Linked DNA regions of Rattus norvegicus. The protein of the gene in region 1 interacts with the protein of each later gene in a pairwise test. Links are inferred from orthologs where the notes say so. Each region holds a gene or a part of one and is shown in the gene's direction. Other genes may lie near its edges. The genes, in order: Sdcbp2, Tnp1, Npm2, Eif1ad, Zcchc10, Prr13 and Prpf38a.

What was found.
Region 2: the proteins of Sdcbp2 (region 1) and Tnp1 interact in binary tests that used the Homo sapiens proteins (3 or more experiments, as listed by UniProt). The two-hybrid records come from large-scale screens. The link is inferred for Rattus norvegicus from reciprocal best matches to the Homo sapiens genes SDCBP2 and TNP1.
Region 3: the proteins of Sdcbp2 (region 1) and Npm2 interact in binary tests that used the Homo sapiens proteins (3 or more experiments, as listed by UniProt). The two-hybrid records come from large-scale screens. The link is inferred for Rattus norvegicus from reciprocal best matches to the Homo sapiens genes SDCBP2 and NPM2.
Region 4: the proteins of Sdcbp2 (region 1) and Eif1ad interact in a two-hybrid assay, tested with the Homo sapiens proteins (3 studies listed by BioGRID and IntAct). The two-hybrid records come from large-scale screens. The link is inferred for Rattus norvegicus from reciprocal best matches to the Homo sapiens genes SDCBP2 and EIF1AD.
Region 5: the proteins of Sdcbp2 (region 1) and Zcchc10 interact in binary tests that used the Homo sapiens proteins (3 or more experiments, as listed by UniProt). The two-hybrid records come from large-scale screens. The link is inferred for Rattus norvegicus from reciprocal best matches to the Homo sapiens genes SDCBP2 and ZCCHC10.
Region 6: the proteins of Sdcbp2 (region 1) and Prr13 interact in binary tests that used the Homo sapiens proteins (3 or more experiments, as listed by UniProt). The two-hybrid records come from large-scale screens. The link is inferred for Rattus norvegicus from reciprocal best matches to the Homo sapiens genes SDCBP2 and PRR13.
Region 7: the proteins of Sdcbp2 (region 1) and Prpf38a interact in binary tests that used the Homo sapiens proteins (3 or more experiments, as listed by UniProt). The two-hybrid records come from large-scale screens. The link is inferred for Rattus norvegicus from reciprocal best matches to the Homo sapiens genes SDCBP2 and PRPF38A.

What each region holds. Positions count from the first base shown.
Region 1 is NC_086021.1:160,529,427-160,533,726, forward strand, and holds the start of Sdcbp2 (syntenin-2), read left to right. Parts: upstream 1-1,500; 5' UTR 1,501-1,558; exon of another isoform or gene 1,559-4,300.
Region 2 is NC_086027.1:82,043,169-82,045,533, reverse strand, and holds Tnp1 (spermatid nuclear transition protein 1), read left to right. Parts: upstream 1-1,255; 5' UTR 1,256-1,272; coding exon 1,273-1,411; intron 1,412-1,609; coding exon 1,610-1,638; 3' UTR 1,639-1,865; downstream 1,866-2,365. UniProt on the Homo sapiens protein: Plays a key role in the replacement of histones to protamine in the elongating spermatids of mammals.
Region 3 is NC_086033.1:52,136,228-52,140,527, reverse strand, and holds the start of Npm2 (nucleoplasmin-2), read left to right. Parts: upstream 1-1,500; 5' UTR 1,501-1,590; coding exon 1,591-1,648; exon of another isoform or gene 1,649-1,758; coding exon 1,759-1,844; intron 1,845-1,935; coding exon 1,936-2,049; intron 2,050-3,277; exon of another isoform or gene 3,278-3,981; coding exon of another isoform or gene 3,982-4,182; coding exon 4,183-4,276; intron 4,277-4,300. UniProt on the Homo sapiens protein: Core histones chaperone involved in chromatin reprogramming, specially during fertilization and early embryonic development. Probably involved in sperm DNA decondensation during fertilization.
Region 4 is NC_086019.1:212,106,715-212,109,515, forward strand, and holds the end of Eif1ad (probable RNA-binding protein EIF1AD), read left to right. Parts: intron 1-638; coding exon 639-789; 3' UTR 790-2,301; downstream 2,302-2,801.
Region 5 is NC_086028.1:37,977,959-37,981,458, forward strand, and holds part of Zcchc10 (zinc finger CCHC domain-containing protein 10), read left to right. Parts: intron 1-1,310; coding exon 1,311-1,355; intron 1,356-2,975; coding exon 2,976-3,252; 3' UTR 3,253-3,500.
Region 6 is NC_086025.1:135,469,817-135,473,839, forward strand, and holds the start of Prr13 (proline-rich protein 13), read left to right. Parts: upstream 1-1,223; 5' UTR 1,224-1,288; intron 1,289-1,922; 5' UTR 1,923-1,942; coding exon 1,943-1,961; intron 1,962-2,301; coding exon 2,302-2,651; intron 2,652-4,023. UniProt on the Homo sapiens protein: Negatively regulates TSP1 expression at the level of transcription. This down-regulation was shown to reduce taxane-induced apoptosis.
Region 7 is NC_086023.1:128,550,066-128,553,995, reverse strand, and holds the start of Prpf38a (pre-mRNA-splicing factor 38A), read left to right. Parts: upstream 1-1,130; 5' UTR 1,131-1,332; coding exon 1,333-1,462; intron 1,463-2,873; coding exon 2,874-3,033; intron 3,034-3,930. UniProt on the Homo sapiens protein: Involved in pre-mRNA splicing as a component of the spliceosome.

The sequences.
Region 1 (4,300 bases):
ATCCATCGGGAATTCTCTTCTTTTTTAAACTTGACTTTCATATGATTAGTGGGTTAAATGTACATTCAAAAGCTTCAAGATAAAAAAGACACAATAGAGCTGGACTTGGTGGCACCACACGTTAACTGTGAGAGGCAAAGGCAGGCAGATCTGTATGTCTTCAAAGTGAGACTGGTCTAAGACAGCCAAGGCTAAGTACAGAGAGCCTGTCTTTAAGAAAAAAAAATGACAAGGGAAATAAAGGAAGAAATCCCGTCCTATCTCAACACAGTTCTTTAGTTCTTCCAGGAGGTTACTGGAAGAAGTAGATTTAAGAAATAAAAACAAAAAACAAAAAACAAACAAACATTTACTGCTTTCTTAGAAAAAAATCATAAGCAAGGCTTATGATTCAAGAGATGGTTCAAAGGGTAATATGCTTGCTATGTATTATGATGACCTTTACACACGCGCACACACACACACACACACACACACACACACACACACACACACGAAAGTTGTGAACAGCAGCACATTTGCACTACAGGTGCAGAGACAGATCCCTGGAGTTTGCTGAACAGTCAGTCCAGCTGGAATGGTGAACACTAGGTTCAATGAGAGACTCTGTTTAAAACTAAGGTGGAGAGGAATAGAGGAAGACTGTCAATCTCTGACATCTACATGCTCACACAGGCAAATGGGAAGACTGTCAATCTCTGACATCTACATGCTCACACAGGCAAATGCACCACACGCACACACACTCCTACAGATTCCATTATTAGAATCTACACAGAAGTACAAACTGAAAAGCTCACCAGGGTCTGGAGGGGTCAGGTAGCATTTGCTTAGGAGTGTAAGGCTTGGTTCCTAGTATCTCGGAAGGAATGACAGAGCAGGCAAGGGGGCAGGGCTCCCTAGGCTTCCTGCAGTGCGCACTTTACTGAAAACAAAACCAGAGGTATGACCTCAATAGTGATTATTCATTGTCTTGTGGTTATATTTCCCCTTGGCACCTTCCTGAAGTGATTTAATAAACATGTCATCTTCAGTAGATTGGTGACTCCTTTAACCAATGTCAGGCATCTGGGATTTCTAGATTGGTTTTACTAAAAAGAAACACTGTGATGGATCCAGATATTGCATTGAAATACATTTCTAAGAAATATACTAGGTTACAAAATATGGCCACCTTTTAAGACCCAGGACATCTATCTCCATGCTCTCCAGTTAACCGACTTTGCCTACTGGCAGGGTAAGGCCTCCACAGCCTGTGCTGACTTCCTCAGTGGGCCAAGTAGCTCTAGTTTGCACACATCTCTACAACAGCTCAGATCAGCTATACACTTTAGCCCCGCCTCTGAATCTAGACTCATGCGAAGACCTTACGTGGATGATTGCTCTGTTTATTGAGCCACACAGGCTAACCTGGGCCCATCCCAGTCCACGGTGAGTAAGCTGAACAAGGGACAGGCACCACCCTTCCCAGAGCAGGAACTCAACTGGGACACAGGCCACCAGCACACCCCAGGAGGCTGCAGTAGCTGGAGAAGGGCACAGAGTGGGGAGCCAGCAGGTAAGGACAGTCTGTATTGGCTGGGATAAAGGAACTGAACAAGACCTGCTCACAACCAATCTCTTTTCCTCCTTTGTCCTGTCTTCTAGGACTTCTAGGTAGCCTTTTAATTTGCTTCACTCTTGGAATGACATGAGAACAAAGCTTTTCCTTTTCTGATCCCAGGCAGGGTTTGAAGGATGTATGATTTTCTGTACTGTTCTATCTCCTACCCTTGCCTTTAATCTATCCTACATTCATTGGCCAGAAGGCCCTGAAGGCTATGGCTCTCTGATGCTCAGACTTCCCTAGTTTCTCTCACTCAAGAAGGGCCAAAATTCTCACCAAGACCTATGAGCCCTCCAGGATCTGAGCCTCTCCTGTCTTCTCTGGTTTCCTCCTTCAAAGTCCTCTGAACACTGAGGGCATGCTCACCCCAGAGTCTGTGCAGTGGACCTATCTCCCTGGAATGTTCTTGCCCACCCAGTTCTTTAAGCTTTTACTGAAATGTCTCTCTCCTCCACAGCAAGGCTCCCCTAATCCTACTGCCCCCTCAACTCTCCATCCCACTTCATCTCTTTCCACCACTGACACAGCCCACAAAACCTTGGGGCTTTTTAATCCAGCTCTTCACTACAAAGTCCCTACATCAAAGAGTGATTAATTTTGTTCACTTCTTACCATGGCCATCCAAAACAGTACCTGGACTTAGGAGGTGGTCAGAAGTGGGTGAGCAGACAGCTATGGAGTTGCCTATTTATGCTAGGCACTGTGCTAAATGGTCTCCATGTATAACTCATTTAAATGGCCGTCTCATGCCTGGATAACTCTGTGCTGAAAGGAAATGTTATTTTACTGTCGTTACAAAATAAATGTCATAGAACCTAGCCCATTCTCACAGTCAGAGGCAGACAGTAGGTTGAGCTGCTCTAAAGCCCTGGCTTCTGCTCTGTCTCCCCTGGACCTTCATTGGGAGAACAGAATCTCCTGAGTCCTGTTCCCTCTGGTACAGTACAGCCCTGGAAGGAGGAGGTACTTGCTTGTGGCTTAGCAACAGCCTCCTCCTCGCCTATTCACCAGATCCCTGGGCTAATTTGGCCTTACAGAAGCTATTACCCCATCACATTAACCCACGCTTCTGTTTTCTGAAGGATAGATGAGTTGTCCACAGGAACAAGTGGGAGTCCCAGAGCTCCAGCAGTTTGGAACAAAGTGTTCTCATTCTTTAAGTTCAAAGATGGGGGCTAATGGGCCCCTTTCCAGCCCTGTTGATTCCCCAGGGCCTGACTGCTAACAATACTGAGAAATGTAGAACGCTCTGGGATGGAAATCGAAAGATATTTTGGGAAGGGAAGTTGCTGGGAGCAAGGACTGGATGGGTTCCCTTAAGAGAAGTCAACTACTTGCAGGAACTGAGCAAACTCTTTCGTTGTCACTCTATTTGTACTCCATTAGGGCTGAAGTTTCCCTTCCTACACTTAGTTTTTCGTTAAGAGACTTTCTACAGGTGGTAATTGGAAGAATGTTTATCTAGGTGTCAGGTGACATATCTGGGGAGATGTGTACAAACATCTATTCACCTCAGACAACCAATGACAGACCAACCAAGACAGTGGTTCTCAACCTTCCTAATGCTGTGACTTTTACTACAGTTCCTCGTGTTGTAGTGATGACCCCCCAACCATAATTTTTTTTGTTGCTACTTCATAACTTTAAATTTGCTACTGTTGTGAATCATAATGTAAATATATGCTTTCTGATGGTCTTAGGTGACCCCTATGAAAGGGTCATTCAACCCAAAAGGGGTTGAAACCCACTTGAGAACTGCTGAACCAAAATAAAATAGTCCATGTCAGCTGTGTGACTCAAGCAGTTCACCTAGCATCGGTGATGACTGCGAAAAGCTCTCCAGAAGAACCTTCTCTGCCCTCACAATTGTTCACTGCTTACATAACCCTGGGGAGGGCTCTGTGAACCAGCTTTCTGAGCTCCTCAGAGTCTTCTATGCTCCCTTAGGTTCCTGAGTCTCAAGCCTCCCACTCCCTTCTAGGAGAGAATGTTGTTTCAATTCCGAGGAAATAGCTACTACCTACCTACACACTAGGTTTTCAGGCTTCTCTTCCTTATGTCGTTTTTTTTTTTTTGTTTTTTTTTTTTTTTTTTTTTTTTCTCCTGTTACTTTATGGAGAGACAGGGCGATTCACACCAGCTAGTGAGGATGACAGGGAAAGCAATGGTGGAATTGCAATCTAGGAAATGCAAAAGGCCTGGCTCACAGTAGGTACTTCCTAAATCTGTGTGGAATGAATAATGACTAGTCATTACAAAGATCCTTGGGGGTTGTGTGGGTGTAGGATTTAGGGGCAGGCTTAGAACTGAACAATTCACCACATGAACTGCGGGTGGCATTTAAGGCAGAGGGAACAGCAGTGCCGAGGCGTGAAGGCATAGATTAGCAAGCTGAGTTTTAGAATCGGCAAGCTATTTGAAATGAAGGGAATGCAGTGAGTAAGTGGGGGTAAGGACAGAGGCACGTCCACCAGGGGTCAGTCATGAAATGTTTAAAGTCATGTTGAAGTCTGAGATTAATTCTGATGTAAGAGCTAGATATGATTTCACCAACAGGTAAAGGCAGGGTCTGAGGGTAAATCCCAGATTTCTGGCTCAGTTCATACGTGTATTTGATGGGGCTGCAGTCAAGATTTGGGAAAACTTCAAGGTAGTCTCCTGAAGGTAAAAGATATCCAAAAAGCTGGTGGGATT
Region 2 (2,365 bases), on another chromosome or scaffold:
CATAATGGATTTCATCCACTAGGCTAAAAGGTCCATGCACACACGGGACTTTTTTTCTCATTTTACTAACCTTTTATTAACCACACCCCACTCACTGCCCCTCCTCTAAAAATTCCTTCCCCTTCCCCTTGTCCTTTGAGAGGGTAGGGGCTCCCTAGGTTTCCCCTCACCCTGCCACATCAAGTCACTGTTGGAAATAGGCACATCCTCTCCCATTGAAGCAAGATAAGGCAGCCCAGCTAGAACATATCCCATAGATAGGCAACAGCTTTTGGAATAGCCCTGTTCTTATTGTTTGGGACCCTCACAAAGACCAAGCTGCACACCTGCTACATCTGGGGGAGGACTGGGGCTAGGTCTAGCTCTTTGGTTGGTGGTTCAGTCTCTGAGAGCCCCTAAGGTCTAGGTTAGTTGACTCTGTTGGTCTTCCTGTAGAGTTCCTATCTCCTTTAGGGCCCACAATCCTTCCCCGCCTCCCAACTCTTCCAGAAGAGTCTCAAAGCTCCACCCACTATTTGGCTGCACACACAGGATTTCTGTCTCTAAGCTATGTCTTTAGGTCAATTCCCTAGTGTCCAAACATGTGATATACATATCCTATGTAAGCAATAAATTTGTGACCAAAACTTAACAGATTTTGCATTCCAGGCTCCCAAAATGACAGGTGGCAATCTTTGGAGATATCTGTCACATCTGCCAGGGTTCTGGCTCTAATGGTTTGTAGCAGTAGAAGCTAGGAATATCAACAAAGATCCCAAAACACATGAAGCAAACTAAAACTTAACCCTGTCCCTGGTATCAAAAATGTAATAAAGATTGGGACCGAAACTTCCTATTTTTGACCAGCTCTCCTAGACTCAAGTGCTTATGGAAAAACATTTGCTTCCTGAGGATACTGTTGAGACTTACACATGCACACATACAAATATCTACACTCAGTGACTTTTAAGTTCTCTACAAACAAATATACTTTAATTAATGACCACTGGTAAAGCACTTCACAGGCCTAGTACAGGAATGGGAGTTAGATGTTTAATACCTGTCTGAAAAGCCGTCTTTAACCTAAAATGGGGACCAGACCAGCACTGAAGGGACTGCTTCCTTATTTCTTCTGTACCACCTAGGTGTATGTATGTATGTAGTGACGTCACAAGAGAGCCCCACCCAGCTGCTAAGCCACGCCCCTTTTCGGTCACAATGGCTAAGGCCTTAAATACATGGACTACTGGCCCTGCCGGCCTTGCAAAGCCCCTCATTTTGGCAGAAATTACAATGTCGACCAGCCGCAAACTAAAGACTCATGGCATGAGGAGAGGCAAGAACCGAGCTCCTCACAAGGGCGTCAAGAGAGGAGGAAGCAAGAGAAAATACCGGAAGAGCAGCCTGAAGAGTAGGAAACGGGGCGATGATGGTAAGTGCAGGGCGAGCGGGAGAGCAGTCAGATTCCAGGACATGCTCTCCCAGCCACCCTCATGGAGGCCAACCTCAGTAGTAACCAGCAATCTCAGCCTGAGATGCCAGCGTTCTAGGGGCTGAATTCTTAGGGCTAAGGATTCTGATGGCTGTGTTCTAATGGGTGTCCTTGTTGTAAATCTGTCCTTCCCCACAGCAAGTCGCAATTACCGATCCCACTTGTAATGCGGCAATGAGCTCTAGCCTGGTGGTCTTCAAACTACACCAGGCAGCAACAAGACATCAGAGGGGGACTGCCAGAGAGATCTGAAGTTAGACCAAAGCCAGAGAAAGATCCTATCAGAGTGGGTAAAATGCCAGTTGTGACGAAATTCGGAATGTATATGTTGGCTGTTTCTCCCCAACATCTCAATAACAATTTTGAAAACAAAATAAAATTGTGAAAACTGAAATGGTCTCTGGTTTTTGTTTGTGGACTTAAGCAGGGTTGGAAGAAAAACCTTTATGACCCTCCGTCTGGTTCATCTTGAATTACACTTTGAAGTATGTTCCAACCGAGCCTACCCAGAATGTGGTCCTCCAGAGAGAGCTGGTATTCTGGGTCTGGGTGGATGCTTAGTGGAATGCCCTGTGTGCTGAAAGTCAACTTCTGATTGTATACAGCAAGCCTAACAGACTTGGTAGGTAGGTATGGACAGAGGGGCTAGCCAGAACCCACCCAGTGGTGAGAAAGTCTGTTGGCTCAGAACATTCATCCATCCCTCTTCCCCTACTTAGGGAACATGCTTTAGGGCAACTGGAACAGCCTCATACTGGGTGATGTTTGGTCTTTACTGTAACATCCTTCAAGGACCGTGGGTGGAGTATCTCTGGAGTCAACAGGAAGGTTAGCACCTAGATCAGCTTAAAGCTGCCATGCTGAGCATGCCCTGATTCTGAATGCAGTATTAAT
Region 3 (4,300 bases), on another chromosome or scaffold:
ATGGCTATGTCTGGGTTACTGGGAAGTTATCTTCCAGGGACTGGAGTCAAAGGCAAATGGTTAGTGGGCATCAGGATTGATGTCTGGCATAAAAAGGTGCTTCTTTAGCAATCCCAGCACCATCCTAGAAAAGCAAACTTAAAATATATCACACACCTAAGAATCAAAGCTAAAATTAGAGTCAGGTGTGGGCGTGAAGGTGCCCACCTATAATTCTAACACTTGAGGGGGAAAGATAAAAACCTTTTGAGTTCAAAACAGCCTTGATACATACCCAGACCTTGTTTTGGGAAGGAAGGAAGGAAGGAAGGAAGGAAGGAAGGAAGGAAGGAAGGAAGGAAGGAAGGAAGGGAGACAAGACATAACTTACAGTGAAAATATTTGAAATACATATATTTGACACAAAACAAATATCCAGTATACATAAAGAACATCTATAAATAATCTCAATAAAAATAATCTCAAATAATTCAATCTTAATAACTGATCAGGCATTTTGAAAATGACAGTTTGCCTATTACCAACAACCACTTTAACATTCAGCATCCTTTATCATGAAGGAAATGCAAATTAATAACTACAATAAAATACCACCAACAGGCTGAAGATAGAGCCCAGTAGTAGAACATTTTCTCTGAGGGAAATAGAAACAGAATGGCTAAATTTAAGGACACCAGCAATGCCAACCATCGAAAACGTACAAAGCAGTAACCATTCTTCATAGACTGTAGGTAGAAGTCCATGGCAATCATTATTGCTGATGCTTCCTGCCCGATCGGAAAACATGTCTAAGTCGAGTAGCAAAGACAGCTCTCTCTTGGTAACCCCAGTAAGTCCCCACTAGCTGTAAACGGTGGCTCTCACACAGGGGCTTCTTTCTGGGCCGGTACCAGCAGCTTCACCTGAAAGCTGGTTAGAAATGCAAACTCTCTTGGCTCTACCTACACCTGTTCAATGGGAGACAGCAGAGGTGATGCTCCCAAATCAAGTCTAATGGAGGGCCAGGTGCTTCTAGAGTAGGAGGGGACGCCCCGCCTCCCCTTCCCCTCCTCTTTCCCAAACTTCTTAACAGCCTGGTGTGGGCAGCTGACCCTTAAGTGAAACCCTGAAGCCAGCTTGAGGACCTGCAGTAGAGGTGCAACCCATGACTGGCAGCGCAGTGAGCTTGAGAGGGGGTGAGTGGGACTCGGATCCAAGAGAACGTGGAGGCCATTCTGTCCCCTCCCTCTCCACACTGGGGTTTCTGAGGGCCCCAAAGGCAGCCATGTGGTCTCTCAGCAAGCTGCCAAACTTGGGCTAGACAAAACCACCATTCTTTGCACTTCTTTGTTGAGTGTGTCTGTCTCAGGTCTGGGGAAGCTCTGATCCGTTTGGGGGGGGGGGGTGTTGGGGTAGGGGGTTGGCTTCTAGTTTTTAATGGCTGTTGGCTATAGTCAACATTCCCAGGACTCAGGGAGTTTCCCTTATGGAAGGCTATGAGCTAGCCTTTGCATTACTCAAAAAACAGTGATAACAGCTGAACTCCAAGCAGGGACCCAGGACCTTACCTCATCACAGACATAATTCTTCCCCCCCACCCAGTAAATCGACATGAGTCGCCACAGCACCAGCAGCATGACTGAAACCACGGCAAAGAACATGCTCTGGGGTAAGGGCTGAGGCTGTCCCCAGTAATGGTGGAGTGGGTTTGCTGGTGAACCCTTAACGTAGAGGAACTCAGGAGCCTCCCAGCTCCACACCTCCATCTTCTCTATGCAGGCAGTGAGCTCACTCAGGAAAAACAGACTTGCACCTTTAGAGCCCAAGGCGAGAGGAAGGACAGCTGTAAGCTTTTGCTCAGCACGGTGGGTGTCTCCCAAGGAGGGGGAGAAGAATGGAACAGGAGTGAGTCTCCAGCGTCAACAGCTAACAGCTCCTTCTCATCAACCTTCTCAGATTTGCCTGGGGGAGAAGGCCAAAGAGGAGGTGAATCGTGTGGAAATCCTTCCCCAGGAAGACAGGAAATCACCAATCACTGTCGCCACGCTGAAGGCCTCTGTCCTGCCTATGGTGAGTCCTCTCTCCCTGCAGGCCCCGGGAAGGCGTCACTACCCTAACTTCATCCTCAGATGGGCCTGGACATAAGTGTGGATGCCTTCATGCCTCAGGCTCCTCACCATGCTATAAAGGCGACCAGGAAAACCACCCCAACTCCTGCTTTCCAGAGACGGTGCCATGAGCAAGCCGAACAGCCTCTCCCACAGTGTCCTGTTTAAGCTTGTTTACTACTCGTCACCAAGACACTGTCTGTGGCTTCTACTTGGGCTTTGAGTGTGGGAGCTCTTCCCTCTAGAAATGTATCTCGTGCCATGCAGTTAACCATTGTGTGTGAATAGTGGCAGGTTTGTAATTTGGAGCACTTTAAAATTCATTTTAAATTAATAAATTTAAAATTGAGGGAGAGAGAGAGGGAGACAGTGTTCAGGCCACGTGTGCCACAGTACATGTGGGGGTCAGAGGACAACCCAGGAGTTGGGTGTCTCCTGCTGTGGGTTCCAGGAATTGAACTCAGGTTGCCAGGCCTATGCAGCAAGTGCTTTTACCTGCGGACCACCTAGCCTGCCCTTGTTTGTCTGAGACAGGGTCTCCTATTGGATCACAGAATGGCCTCCACGCTCTCTTCCTGCCTCCCCTTCCCTGGTGCTGAGATGACAGACATAAGCCACAACAGAAACTTTTCCCTTTTTCTGTGATCTCAGGGCATTGCCCCAAAGGCTAGGGCTTTTGGTATAATACAAATTATTATATCTGACTTAAAAATGAACTGTGAGTTGAAAATATCATAATTGGGAGAGGATTTACTATGCTTAGCCCCTGGAGCCATAGCACCATGCTAAGCTTGTAGAGGAGAAACCAGGGCACATAGAGCACCAGGAATAAGGCAGGATTTCTATCACACACCACTGGCCCAGGAGAAGGTCAAAATTCAGAATTCAGGTGTGTGGTTCTACTAAACGGATTTAACTCTTGCATCATTGTAAAGCCAAAAACTCCTGAGTAATCGGAAACTGTAATTGGGCAAACGAGACCTGAGCGTTGACCTCTTTTCCTCTTCCCTGATTTAAGATGGTTCTCCATGAAGTGCTTGGCAGATACGCTTCGCCAAATTAATGAAGCCCCCATCTGGTACAGCTATGCTTTAAGGTTTTTAATTTTATTCCTGAGTAGGGAGTTGAATTTTATCAAATACTTCATTTTTATTTTACATGTGTGTTTGGCCTGCCTATGCTCTGCAAAGCACATTCACACCGAGTTCCTACGGAGGCCAGAAGAGGGCCTTGAGAGTGGAATTGCAGATGTTTCAGAACACCGTGTGGATGCCAGGACTCGAACTCGGCTCCTCTGGAAGAGAAATCCGTGCTCTCAATAGCTGACCCTTCTTTTCAGCCCCTAAAATGGTTTTTTTTTTTTAATTTTGTCTCACCTGATCCTACATTCTTTCTCCATCAATTCATTAACATACCATTATGTTGGGATAATAATGTTTGAGCTTTTTTGGGTTCCTTGATCATGCAAACTCTGCATTCACTTTAACATGTCCTCATCTTCCTTTACTTAAGGATTCCTGGGGTGGGTGGGGTGGAAACACAAATGCTACACCACGTGGTAGTCAGAAAACAGCTTCATGGAGAAATGTATCTCCCTTCGTGAGGTCGAGGGCGGGACTCTGGCCACCAGGCCTGCTCAGCAACCCTTCCTGCACTGGACATGGCACCACCTGAGTTCCTCACTTTGCCTCCACCATTTGCTTGTTTATTTTATTTTGTTCTGGTTGTTGTTCTTTGAGACAGTCTAGGTAACCTAAACCAGCTTCAAACCCACAGTGGTCCTCTTGACTCTGCCTCTTCCCCAAGTGCTAGAATACTCGTGTGCACCACTGACTCCATCCATTCTTAATTGTGAAAAGCAGAGAAGTGATTTATTCAATGTGGTCACCTTAGGATGGGGGGACATTTGTTGTGTGTTTGGATTTTTTGTTTTGTTTTGAGCCAGAGTGTCTCTTATGTCACCCAGAATTGCAATCCTCCTGCCTATGCCTCCTCGACCCTGGAATTTTGCAGCAGTTGTGACCAGCATCTACCAGGGGCCAGGCTGAGTTACCTGTGTCTTCTATGTTGCCCTGATGTCTCTCTCCCACCACAGGTCACAGTGACAGGTATAGAGCTTTCTCCTCCAGTAACTTTTCGTCTCAGGGCTGGCTCAGGACCTGTGTTCCTCAGTGGCCAGGAATGTTATGGTAAGTGCAGCCTCCAGAGATTCT
Region 4 (2,801 bases), on another chromosome or scaffold:
TATTCATAACAGCAAAATTACAGTTATAAAGGAGTAATAATAATTTTATGGTTGGGTTCACTACAGCATGAAGAACTGTGAAAGTGTCGCAGCATTGGGAAGCTGTTAGTACATCAGCTGTTAGGAAATGTGAGCTATGTGTCAGTAATGCTAGTGGGGTCGCTTCCTCACTCAAATTGATGAGGGGCTGGGTGGGAGGTAATCCCGAGTCTATTCTTTTTGACTGGGTTTCCCTATTTGCTCTGTTTTTCTAGAAGAATCCTCTCCCAGAATTTTTTGCTTTGTCTCCTTTATTCTTTTAAATCTTTTTTTTTTCTTTTCTTTTTTTCGGAGGTGGAGACCGAACCCAGGGCCTTGCGCTTGCTAGGCAAGCACTCTACCACTGAGCTAAATCCCCAACCCCTGTCTCCTTTATTCTTGAGTCAGGATCTCATGTAGCCCAGGCTGTCCTCAGACTTAGTCTTCTGCTTTCGCTTCCTAAATGCCAGGCATGTGCCACTGCATAAGGGTTTGGGGCTCTTGGATTTTCAGAAACCTGTTAGATTCTGATTGTTTAGTTGATGGTCCTGGTTTTTGGGACTTGAGATTATAGCTCTGGTTTCCCCAGAAGATGTTACTGTTCTGTCCTGCTCCCACAGAGAGAGTCAGCCGGAACTCCCCGCTGAGCCACAGCTGTCAGGAGAAGGGTCAGGTTCTGAAGATGATTCTGACCTCTTTGTCAACACCAATCACAGACAGTATCATGAGAGTGAGGAGGAGAGTGAAGAAGAAGAGGAGGAGGCGGCCTGAGCCCCAGGACCCACTTCTCTACTTGCTCAGGGACTACCCCTTGGCTTTTCTGGGTTTGGACATTCCCAGGGTGCCCTGCAGATCTTTTCCTTTGGATGGGGACAAAGCATGGCCCCTTTCTGAACTGACATAAAAAGAATTAAACCCCTGGTGGGTAGTGACTTACACTGGTGTCCGTGTGGCTCTCTGTAGAGGGAAGCTCATGGTGAAATGAAGTCTCTTCTATGGTGGAAGCCTTGGTCACGTGTGGGTAGAATGGGCAGGAAATGATTTGTCTGAACTCTGCTGCATTTATCTGGTTCACAGTACCTCTCTGGACACTTGATACCTCACCCTGTGCTGTGCCTTACTGGGTCTTCCTTTATACCTGCTTATATTCAGCAGCTATTCCAATAGTTAAGCGTGCAGTCTAGGACCTCGGACCCACTTGCCTCTTAAGCACAGCTCAGGACAAACTCCTGGTGCCTTGTTATCCCTTACTGCAATAGTGCTTACTGCCTGCCGCTATGCAAACAAGCCTGCATCCCATCTCTCTTCACCTTCGTCACCTGTCATTCCCAGAACGTGTCTGTGGTCAGGATACCTCCTTACCATCTCCTGATTTTCTTTGACTTTCTCTAATTTCTTCAGGGTATTAATTTCCTGTAATCTTTTTTTTTTTGAAGCTGGGGACCGAACCCAGGGCCTTGTGCTTGCAAGGCAAGCGCTCTACCACTGAGCTAAATCCCCAACCCCAATTTCCTGTAATCTTGAGGTTGTCTCTAACCCAGGTTTGCTTCAAAATCACTGTGTAGCCTAGGCTAACCAACTCAGTGGCTGTCCTGCCTCACAGGCATGAACCTGTGGGGCTACTAACCTTTTGTTAGAGGCTATTGTAATGTCTTTACCCCTTGTACCTCAGCATCAAAAGACTTCTTGTGGTGACTCAGACCTTTGCTCATGACTACCTCTGTCCATTTACTTACTCCCATTGTTTTAGTTCAAATATCCTTCAGTAGCCCAGGTACTCACTAAACTGTGCAAGCTTCTGTGAACTGTGGCCTCACTTATTGGGAGGCTTCTGCTTCTGGCTATACCCTGCTAGCATTAATCCTGCCCCTGCTAAATCCTATTGAAACTGACCTCTCAGCTTAGTCTTGCCCCTACTGGTCATTCATCCCTCAGTGGAACTATTCAACCCTGTTGCGTACTCCTAATGTGCTTGTGTGTATGTATTTTCGTTGAAAACTTGTACTAATGGAACTTCTACTTTGGAGCCTTCCTTTTGTCTTCTGACGAATTTTGTTTTTTTGGAGGGGGGCTGTTGTGGGTAGTTGGTTGAGCTTGGAGGCATGCATTAGCTTCATAGAATCTCATTTCTGAGCAGGAAATCCTGCAATCACACCCTCTCTGACTCTCATTTATGTTCGTCATGTTTGCCTTTTGTGGTAGTAAATGTATACTTGGGTATACACATGTATAAAATATAGGTGTATATACATGGAGAAATAAACCATATGGGTTAAAGAGAAACCTATCTTTAACTTCTCTGAATTTTTTTTTTATGAAGAGTTCTTTTTTGTTTTTGTTTAGTACTGAGTATTGAACCTCAGGCCTTGGGCACATGGTGTGTTAGACTGGTGTTCTTACCGAGCTAAATCCACATTAGGAGCTCTGTCATTAGGAGAAATAACTTCCTAACTAGAGAAAGCCATTTGCCCCTAACTCATTCATTAAAGGGCTCATTCTTTTCTCATTGATACTACCTTTTAAATTTTTCAGATCAGACAGACATGTTTAGTGCACACCTTTAATCTCAACCCCAGTACTTGGGAGGCAAAGGCAGGCAGATCTCTTGAGTTCTCGGTTAACCAGAGCTATAGAGTCATTCTGTTAGCAGGCATTATGGCACATGCCTTTAAGAGAAGTGTGGAGGCAGAGGCACAATTATCTCCTAAGGAATTTGAGGCTAGCCTGCTCTACATAGTTTTATGTCCTCACCTCCACCCCCCAAAAATAATCCTAACCAGGTG
Region 5 (3,500 bases), on another chromosome or scaffold:
GAGAGGTGGCTCAGCAGGTAAGAGCACCAGCTGCTCTTCCAGAGGTCCTGAGTTCAATTCCCAGCAACCACATGGTGGCTCACAACCATCTGTAATGAGATCTGATGCCCTCTTCTGGTGTGTCTGAAGACAGCTACAGTGTACTTATATATAATAAATGGGGTTGGGGATTTAGCTCAGTGGTAGAGCACTTGCCTAGCAAGCACAAGGACCTGGGTTCGGTCCCCAGCTCCGAAAGAAAAAAGAAAACCAAAAAAAAAAAAAAAAAAAGAATAAATATTAAAAGTAAAAATAAAAAACCCAAGGCACTGCCTGCTCTCGGCTAATAGAATCGCCTTCTGTGTACGGCAGAAGTAGGAGTATACACAGCACTGCAGACTTTGAACTAAAATTCTCTCATGAGATTGGCTAGAGTGAAACAACATGTCTGCAGGCCTGTGGTGGTTCTGTGTGGTGAATGTGTCTGTGACAGGATCAACCTATTTTCCTAATCAAGAAGCAGAAACTCGTTTTGAAAACCTTTAAGGTACAAGGTAGAACGTGGGCTGAGATATGGCTCCGTTTGCAGAGTGCTTGCCCAGCATGCACAGGGTTCTGAGTTCCATCCAGCGCCATCCATCAGGGAATAGGTGAGTTCAGGCCTAGCCTGGGCTACATGAGACCTTGTCTCAAAGAAGAAAAAGAAAACAGTGAAATTGTATGAGGTGCAGAGTGCTTGCACAGCATGTGCCTGCCCTGGACTTGAACCCGCACCATGTGTTGTGGTGACAGGAGCAGTTCTGTAATCTGAAAGCTGGATCCGTGTACATGCCGATGGCAGAGATGCAGCTCATGCTCGGATGCTCTTTGTGGTGTCAGGGAGCAGCCTCACATTATTGAGATTCCATGTTTTTGTTTTTGTTTTAAACAACAACTAAAATTTTGGAAACTGTACAGAAATTAAATTTGCTTTTGTGAAATTTTCAAATGGCCACATGTGATTCTAGGAAGCTGGATTATGGCTGCTGTGCTGTTGGTGCCCTTGCTTGGTCAACAAGTAAAGTTCTAAACCAAAGAAGAAACAACTCTGTGTTCTGTCGTCTAAACTACTAACAGGCCTTGATGGTACAGGAGATAAAATGTGTTGTTGAAGGAAGCACGAAGTCCACTGTGGATAGCCTGTCCCGGGAAGGAGGAAACTTTTTACTTGATTAGAGCAAGAAATCTGTGCCTTGAGCATATGCAATGAAGAACAGAACTAGCCTGAGGGTAGCAGAGAAGTTTGTGGTCACTCTTATTAATAGGAGCTTTTGTTTCCCTTTGTCCCTTAGCATGGGAGAGACCAACACGGAAAGAAAGACCAAGAAGAAGAGGAGGTAGGTAGCTTTAGGTGACACTACCTGGGGGAGGAAGGTTGGCCTGAAGTCTTTGTCTGCAATTCTTTTTTTTTTTTTTTTAAGATTTATTTATTTTGGGCTGGAGAGATGGCTCAGTGGTTAAGAGCACTGACTGCTCTTCCAGAGGTCCTGAGTTCAATCTCCAACAACCACATGGTGGCCCACAACCATCTGTAATGAGATCTGATGCCCTCTTCTGGTGTCTCTGAAGACAATAACAGTGTAATCACATAAATGAAATAAATCTTTAAAAAAAAATAAGATTTATTTATTTTATATATGCGAGAACATTGCCACTGTCTTCAGACACACCAGAAAGAGGGCATCGGATCCCATTACAGATACTTGTGTGAGCCACCATGTGGTTGCTGGGAATCGACCTCTGGACGAGCAGTCAATGCTCTTAACTGCTGAGCTATCTCTCCAGTCCCTGTTTGCAATTCTTGGTTGTGATTGTATTTTCTAATCTTTTCCTGTTACGTGGAATTTACTGGCTCCATTTTTCCTTTTCCTATAACATTCTAAAATCCTTACACCTGACAATAATACTGCTGCCTGGTCTTGACCTAATAAATCTTACAAGATTTTGCTAAAGGGAACTGGAAAAATGACCCAGTTGGTAAAGTGTTTGCCATGCACATAAGCCAATAGATAGGTGCAGCAGCAGGGGTTGGTGCAGCCGCGGCGCTGGGGAGGTAGTGATGGGTGGGTCCCAGTGAATCACTGAGCACCCTGCCCAGCTGAGTCAGGGAGCTCCAGGTTCCATGACAGTGACTCTAAAGTGTAGAGCAATCGAGGAGAACTCAGAGATCTGCCTGGCATGTTTGGGTTCTTTTATTGTTCGGTTTTGCTTTTGTTTTGTTTTTTTAGAGAGAGAGAGAGAGTGTGTGTGTGTGTGTGTGTGTGTGTGTGTGTGTGTGTGTGTGTGTAGGGGTGCCTCTAGATCCCAGAAGTGGACATTGGATTCCTTATAGCTGAAATTTCTGGTATTTTTGAGCTGCCAGGTATGGGTGCTGAGGTCCAAATTCCATGACAGGCCTCTGACAGAATAGTAAGGCCTCTGAGTGCTGAGCCTTCCCTTTGGCCCTTGTTTTATTTTCTGGACACTAGATCTCACTTTGTAGCCCAGGCAGGCCTCAAACTCATGGTGACCCTCATACTTAAGCTTCTTGAGTGCTAGGGTTACAGCCACCATGCCCTGCTTGTGTTTCTTGTGTGTGTGTGTGTGTCTGTGTGTCTGTGTGTCTGTGTGTCTGTGTCTGTGTGTCTGTGTGTGTGTGTGTGTTGGTTGGTTGGTTGGGGGGGGTGACGGGGGTGTGTGTGTGTGTGACAGACTTGCCTTGACCTTACTGTGTTGCTGTGGGTGACCTTGAACTTCTGACCTTCTTGCCTTACCTCCTGGGATGGAAGGCTTGTGCCAGCATGCTCAGTGTATGGGGGGCACACCTTATGGACTCCTAGAGAGCTTGCAAAGTGTTTCAGCAGTTAGGCGATCCCCAGACATCTGGCTAGGGCTAGCTGCAGGAGCTCAGCACGAGCGTTTCTAAGCACTGAGTTAAATGTCCATTTCCCATGTGTGCTCTTTGTGTAACATTATAGGCCTAAGAGTGTCACGAGTACCTCTAGCAGTGACAGTTCAGCCAGTGAGTCTTCATCAGAGAGCGAGACATCTGCCTCGTCCTCTTCAGAGGACAGCGACGCAGATGGAAGCCTCTCCAGCTCCTCCTCCTCCTCAGCCTATTCCTCCTCCTCGTCCTCCTCCTCCTCCTCGTCCTCCTCGTCCTCAGACTCAGACTCCAGCTCCTCCAGCAGCAGCAGCAGCAGTTCCGAGAGCAGCTCTGACGACGAGCCACCAAAGAAGAGGAAAAAGAAATAGAGCTCTCTCTTCTCTGGACCAATGGACAGAAAGCATTTGTGACTCCCAGGGGAACTGAAGACGTGCTCAAGCAAGCAAGTTAGCTGGTCAGACTTGTTAAAGTCCAGAACTTTCTAAGTATTCACCATTGTGTAGGATATTAAATAAAGATGTTATATATATAAAGATGTTTATTTTAGGAATGACTATTGGGTTTTTGCTGTTGCTTTTCTTTTTGTAAAGACTGGGTCTCATTTTGTAGGCGTGGC
Region 6 (4,023 bases), on another chromosome or scaffold:
AGTTATTCACCCGGAACAATGGCATGAGACTATAACCACGGCATCTGTTGGACACATTGAGACCCCCTCTCTTACCTATCTTTCTACAAAAGAGAACCACGGGGCTGGAGAGATGGCTCAGTGGTTAAGAGCACTGACTGCTCTTCCAGAGGTCCTGAGTTCAGATCCCAGCAACCACATGGTGGCTCACAACCATCTGTAATGAGAACTGATGCCCTCTTCTGGTGTGTCTGAAAACAGCTACAGTGTACTCATATATAATAAATAAATAAATCTTTAAAAAAAAAAAAAGAGAACCACGGGCTGTGGTTATAGAAGCTGGCAGCATTGAGACCTGGGGCTAGGACTTAGCAGCACTTCCTCCTTTTGTTCTCTGAGGTCTTGTTTTTTTGTTGTTTTTGTTTTTGGAAACAGAGGGTTCCTCTGTGTGGCTCTGGCTGTCCTGGAACTCACTATGTCGACCAGGTTGTCCTCAAACCCAGAGATTCACCTGCCTCAGCTCCTGAGTGCAGGGGTTAAAGACATATGCCACCAGCACAGGGCTCTCTGAGGTCTTATATCGGGTTGGCTGGCCTCAAATTCCCTAAGAAGCTAACATTGCCCTTGAATTCTGATTCTCCTCCTCCACTTCCCAAGTGCTAGGTTACAGACAAGGCTACCTTAAAACAAACAAACAAAACACCTAATGTACTCACTGACCTGTAACCGCAACGCAATGATAGGGACTGGAGAGATGTCTCAACAGTTAAAAAGCGTTTGCTTCTCATGCGAAGTGTTTGAGTTCAGTCCCCAGCATCCACATGGCTGCTCATCAGCAACTCTGACTCCAGGGGCTTTGAAGACCTCCGCTGTCATTCAGCAGGCACTTGGTGCACATACATTGGGGCAAATCACTCATACTCATTTAAAAAAAAAATCTTAAAATTTAAACGAACAAAAGAAACTGAGAGTTTATCTCGTTGGCTCGGGGTCTCTGCTTGGAGCTAGCCCTGCCCCGCTCCCGCCCTAAGGAGCACTTCCGCTGTGTCTGTTATTTCACCAGTTATGTATTTCACAACGCAAGGCTTTTTTTTCCAAAAGGCTCCGCCCGGCGTCTAGCGCAAACGTTTCCTCCTTGTTTGGACCACAGCGATTGACAAGTCAGTTCTCCAATCATCATGCCGAGTGACCACATAATTATCTAGGTCACCGGGGCGGTGCGGAAGCATAGAATGAATAGGGGTGACCAGGAAGTGTGTGATCCCAGACTGGGAAGGAGGACGGGAAGAGGACCAGCGATCTTGGGAAGGTGACAGGGCATCTGGCCTCCCAAATTCCCTTCTTTCCTCTTAGCTGGGCCAGGGATCCATTTATACCTGAGAACTAGGAACTCCCTTTGCCCTTTCTTTGGGGTGTGTGTGTTTTGTCCTTATCTTAGCGTTTTGGGTTCCTTTTTTTTTTTTTTTTTTTTTTTTCTCCACTGGGGCGAGCAGGGAGTTTAGGGTTTAGGTCCTATCTCTCACACTACGGATGCTTAAGGCCTCCGGTCCCTTTCTAGGGAGAGGGAAATGAGACGCCTACATCCAGGTGAGATAGTGAAAGTGGGAGGGGCCCCAGGAAGAGAGTTTCTGTGGTTTAGACCCTGCGCTAATGTAGGCTAGGAGGGCGCTGGAGAGAGGAAGGAAACTTTTTTTCTGTTTTGTTTTGGTTTTCAACACAGGGTAGCTCTGGCTGTCCTGTAACTCTCTTTAGACCAGGCTGGTCTCTAACTCAGAGATCCACTTGCCTCTGCCTCCAGAGTGCTGCCCATTTTAAAGTGGAGGTTGCGGTAGTTTTATCAGTGAGAGCCTTCGTAAGGCGGAGGCTGTAGGGTGGGGCTCGGGCTCTAGAAAATCCGCTTCCCTTCCTGGGAGCTTCAGATTTTTGTCTGTTTTACTTCGTAGGATTGAACTAACTTGTGGACATGTGGAATCCTAGTGCTGGTAAGTAACTGGGGGGCTCTCCTCTGACCCCGCCCCAGCCCATTTTGCAACGAAACGGGATTTTTCTGTATCCTGCAACCCCCAGCAAAAACAAAGTCACGGGACCACTGCTAGCTACCGAGTTCTGCCTTTCCGTAGGGCTTAAGAATGGTGGTGACTGGGTTGGGGATTTAGCTCAGTGGTAGAGCGCTTGCCTAGGAAGCGCAAGGCCCTGGGTTCGGTCCCCAGCTCCGAAAAAAAGAACAAAAAAAAAAAAAAAAAAAAGAATGGTGGTGACTTGTGTTACTCGTTGATAGAGGTTTGCACCGTTCTAATCTTTATTCTCCAATTCTTCCTCTAGGGCCAAATCCATATCCACCCCAAGTTGTGTGTCCAGGAGGTTCCAATCCTGCCTGCCCACCATCCCAAAATCCTGCCTTTCCTCCTGGCCCCTGTCCTCCCGGAATTCCTCAGGGAAACCCAGCTTTCCCTCCGTGTCGACCTCCTTATCCTGTACCGCAACCAGGGTGTCCAGGATACCAACCCTCAGGTCCCTACCCTCCCCCGTACCCACCAGCTGCTCCTGGCATGTGCCCCGTGAATCCTCCGGCTCCTGGCATGGTAGGCCCAGGAATAGTGATAGACAAGAAGACTAGGAAGAAAATGAAGAAAGCTCACAAGAAATCACACAAGCATCATAAGCACGGGAAGGTCAGTGTCCTCTGGAGCCTGGCTGGGGAAGGAGCTCCCTTCAGAGGGACCGGGGTGATCAGGAGTTGGGGATGGGCATTCTCGGTTTGTGGGGCGTGGGAGGAGGACGGCAATCCTGTCCTTTTGGCAGGTGGTTTTCCTTTACGTAAAGAGATCCTCCTTTAAGGAGTTTAGTAATATTGAGGCATTCGACCACTCCCATCTGCAAAGGAAAAGTGAAGTGGGGGCGGATATCAGAGCCAAAAGCCCTCTCCCTTCTCTCCCTCTATCCCTGTAACTCCCCGCCTTGACCCACCCTAGGTGTATCTTTTGGTAAGTTGGACACACCCATTAAGGTTGTCTAAATGTCAAAAGAGTTCTTTGACAAAGTGCAATGACGCATAATAGTTTGCGGGGTGGCGGTCTGACCCTAGTTCCTGGATTTCCTTTATCTCCTTCGGCGTTCTCAGGTGCTGAGTTAATTCCCTGGGTGGGTCTTCTGTGACTCAGCAGCCTTCTGCAAAGCCTGGGGTGAAAGGGCATTTTCCTTCACAAGACCTGTATCCCTTCCTTCCACAGGGACGCTAATTATTGTTAGTGAGGGAAGGAGTTTCCCTGAGGACTTGGGAAAAGCATCAGTCTAATCTTGAAGCTTTAGTTAGATTTTTATGCCAAATGTTTGCTTGTGGGTCTGGACTCTAGTTCCTGATTCTGGGTCTTAGGTAGAGATGTGGGGAGTGGGGAAGGAAAGGAGACACTGAATGAGGGAGAGAACCCTGAGAGCCTAAACTTTTTTTTTCTAAGATTTATTTATTTATTTCATGTATGTGAGTACACTGTGGCTATCTTCAGACACACCAGAAGAGGGCATCGGATCTGCATTACTGATGGTTGTGAGCCACCATGTGGCTGCTGGGATTTGAACTCAGGACCTCTGGAAGAGAGTAGTCAGTGCTCTTAACCGCTGAGCCGTCTCTCCAGCCCCAACACGAAACTCTTAAGGGCTAGGATTCTGGTAGCAGGTGTTTTTTTTACAGTAGCTGACGGAGGTATGTCTGTGTGGGGTTTCTCCAGCCATCTGTCTGTCTCTGCCATCTTCCCCACTTTTTCCCCTAGTGGGACTTGGAGGAAGTACAGCATCACACACACACACACACACACACACACACACACACACACACACACACACACACGGTGGCTGGCTGTTCCTACCCTCTCTGAGGTGCAGAGAGTCTCGTTTGTCATTCTTTAAGCTAATGAGTAGGGACTTACAAAGTTGCAGCTGCTTCCCGCATCCATGCTGTGTTTGTTCTTCATTCCTGGCCCTGGCTAGGTGTGGAAAGTATAAACTTGGTCAGAAGGCAATGTGTTCAGTTCTGTGCAATGACTGAGG
Region 7 (3,930 bases), on another chromosome or scaffold:
CTTTACCACTGAGCCATCTCTCCAGCCCCAAAGGTCATCTTATTTATATCTTATGCACATAACTAGATGATATCTAATTCATAATTCAATGCAAAATACTGCACTCCCTTTCACAGAATTCAGAAACCTCCCAACATTCAAATATTGCCGTCTAATACAGCTTCTAAAATATTTTATAATTCTGGTCAGGCAGAGGCAGGCGGATCTCTTTGAGTGTTAGGCCAACCTGGTCTACAGAGTGTTCCAGGACAGACAGGGCTACACAGAGAAACAGTGTTTCGAACCCCTTCCCGCACCTTACCCAATCTAATCCTGAAAAAGCCGGGTGTGGTGGTGGCGCGCCATTAATTCTAACGCCTGAGAGGCAGAGGCAGTCGCTCAGAAATCCCAATTCCTCCAATTGTTACGAGAAGGCTAGACCCAAGAAAGTAGAAAACGAGCCATTAGATAGATGTTCTCTCCTGTGACTAGGGACTGAAGGCTCACCAAAAGACAAGTTATTGGGAAAGGAGACCTGAGGAGAACGAGAAGCCAGAGTCACAAAAATTGACCTAGAGAAAGTTTCTCTCGGGGCGGAATCACTAGTTAGTGAAGCTGAACGCAACATCAGCTCCGCCGTTCTAAAGGAAAGGATGCGAGTGCTTTTCAGAAGCCGTGCACGTGGAAAGTCAAAGCCTTAGGCTCCCCGCGACGGCAGGCTCCACCCGCTTCTCTGAGATCTCCTTCAGCGCAGGAAATGTTTCAGGAGCTCCCAGAAGGCGAGGAGAACGTTTACCCACTTTCGAGAGGTGAGGGCACTTAAGGCCCTAGGTGCACGTGTGTGGAGTCTGAGGACGACCCGCACTCACCTCACCGAAGCTTGTTAGGGCTGTCGGTAACCCTCCGCTTCCCACTACTTGCAGTCCAGGCACTGAGGGGGCTGTGGAACGCTCGCTCGTGCAGTTTGGGCTCCGCCAGGAGACGACAGCTGCAACGCGCACCCAGTGCTCTCAGCTGACTAGGAATGGAAGTCAGAGGAAAAAACTTTTCGCGCCACTAACCGAAACCCCGCCCATAGTCTGATTCTTATTGGTGTTTCTAACACCTTGCCACGCCCTCCAAAGGCTCATGACGTACTTCCGCCAATTTGCTTCAGCCCTCTCTGAGGAAGGTTGTGCGTAGTGTCCGGAAAGAGTTCTGAGCCACAGCTTCCGGTACAAAGCTAGTCGCTTTCCGCGGTTCGAAGGAATTCCTTAAGGTTTCCCTAGCCTCTGCTAGTCTTTTTCTTCTTCTTTTTTAATCTGGATGTGACGTATTAAGCAAGCCGACGGAAATAGTTGAAAGCGTTCTAAAATGGCGAACCGTACAGTGAAGGATGCCCACAGCATCCATGGCACCAATCCTCAGTATCTGGTGGAGAAGATCATCCGGACACGAATTTATGAATCAAAGTACTGGAAAGAAGAGTGTTTTGGACTTACAGGTGAGAGACAGCGCGCACCTCGCTTCTCGGCTTACGGGTGTTTTCTTCTGATTGAGTAAGGAAGGATAGACCCTCTGGGCGTATGTCAACCATTCATAAACACTGTTCTGTGTCTAGACTTATACTAGACAGGACACAGACAAATCTGACACGATCTTTCCTTTGTTTTTTTCTTTTTAGTTTTCCGAGACAGGGTTTCTCTGTAATATCCCTGGCTGTCCTGGGATTCGCTGGTATCGAACTCCGAGAGATCCTCCTGCTCTGCCTCCTGAGGGCTGAGATTAAAGGAATGCTGAACCGACCTTTTTTGATGCTAAAGAATTTGCTTAGGTTCTTTGAGCCACTATTTTTTGTAGTCTGTTGAGTCCTAGACTGTTTATCTCAGCGACCGGATACATTTCCTTGAATACAGCTTTCTGAAGATGTTAAAGGAACGTCACCATTCCTATAATCAAATTCTTGCTCTTCTTAAATGAGTCATTATTTTCATTCTTGACCTACTTCCTCTAGTCTTTTAGGTTTTTGGGGTTTTTTTGTTTGTTTGTTTGTTTGTTTGTTTGTTTTCCCCCCTTGAGACAGTGTCTCACTGTGTAGCCTTAGATGGCCTGGAACTCTCTATGTAGAGGAGGCTGGCCTTGAACACACAGAGTATGAAAGGCATGAGCCACCTCGCTGACTCCTATCAATTCTCCAGAGTAGCTATCTGGAGAATTTCCCAGCTTTGTTCATATTCACCTAGTGTGATTTTTGCTGTGGTTCTTGAGCAGGTAAATCACTTAACCTTTTTTTGTCCTCATTATCCTTAGCTGTAAGTCAGGACAATGATTATTTGGGTGTTTTGTTTTTGTTTTAGACAGGGTTCCCCTGCGTAGTCCTGACTGCCCTCGAACTCACTCTGTAGACCAGGATGGCCTAGAACTCAGAGATGTGCCTGCTTCTGGCTCCCAAGTTGTACATTACCCCCCACCAGCATCTGGACTTTCCTCATGACTTGTTGTATAAAGATTGAGGACTCGTGAGTCCACTCTTCCTTGATGGACTAAATAGTTGACTGAGGCAGGGGTAAGGGATCTGTCTCAGTAGTGGTGTGGTTCCAGGCATATGTAGCCCTGGCTGTCCTGGAACTCACTCTGCAGACTAGGCTTTCTCAAATTCAGAGATCTGCTTGCCTCTGCCTCCTGAGTGCTGAGATTAGAAGCAAGCGTTACCATGCTCAGGGGGTTTTTTTGTTTTCTTTTTAAGACTCATTTTTATTACTATTATTGATAAGCTTTTGATCTCTTAAATATTAAGTTCTTATCAATTATTTAGGAACTCTAAACCTTTAGCTATTTAATCTCCCAACCAAGAAACCTAAGGCCTTTAATATTATGTCTAAGATGAATGTCACTTTGTTTTTGTTTTTTTTCAGCTGAACTTGTAGTCGACAAAGCCATGGAGTTGAAGTTTGTGGGTGGTGTGTATGGTGGAAACATAAAGCCAACTCCATTTCTATGTTTAACCTTGAAGATGCTTCAGATTCAACCTGAAAAAGATATCATTGTTGAGTTCATAAAAAATGAAGATTTCAAGTAAGTACAATGGTAACCAGCACAAAAATTTTAGTGGTTCAAAGTTGGCTTTGTTAGTAGGATTGTCTGTGTCTCATTTCTACAGCCTTCAGCCTTTGAACTTGTATTTTGTCTACTGTAGTTATGTAGACCTAACTCCCTGTTCCCCAAAACGTATTTCACAAATTAAATATGCACACATAATATTTTTACATATGTATACATACACACAGAGTCTCATCAAAGTGATGTGTTGGTAGACACTGTATGTGGGAGCCATACAACATAGGATGTTAGTTGACAGGTTAGATCGGTATCTTATTTAGACTTTGGTACCTATTGACTGTAACCCCATAGAATTTCTCTAATTTTTTTTAAAGCTTGTCAATGAATGGTAAACATAATCAGCTGTTCCATATCATCCATTCTCTAGGAATGCGGAGGCAGGTGTAATAGCTGATCCTGTGCCGAACAAAATGTGTTTTAAGGGCCTTAGATATAGTGATTCATATACTTTTCATCCCAGTGCTTTAAAAATACTATGCCTATTTTACATGGGCAGAAACTGAGGCACAGAGATTTTAAGGAATTTTTTGGTCAGAAAACTAGTGCGTGTTAGATCTGTGGCTGAGATAAAGCCTGGGGATAGAACAAATGGAAGGGTGTAAGTCTGATCCCCATTGGGGATTGGAGAGGAGAAACTGGCTGCAGAGTACACTTTGGTTTTCTTTGTTTTGTTTTGATTTTTGAGATACTGCCTCAGCGTAGTTCTGGCTGGCCTTATATTTATGGCAGTCCTCTATTTCTGCCTCCTGAGTGCTAGGTCTCAGCTAGAATGCATATTCGTTGCTGTACTGTTCTTCTCATGTGATGAAGCTTGGATTTCAAAAGGAGATTTGAGTAAGGACTGGATATATG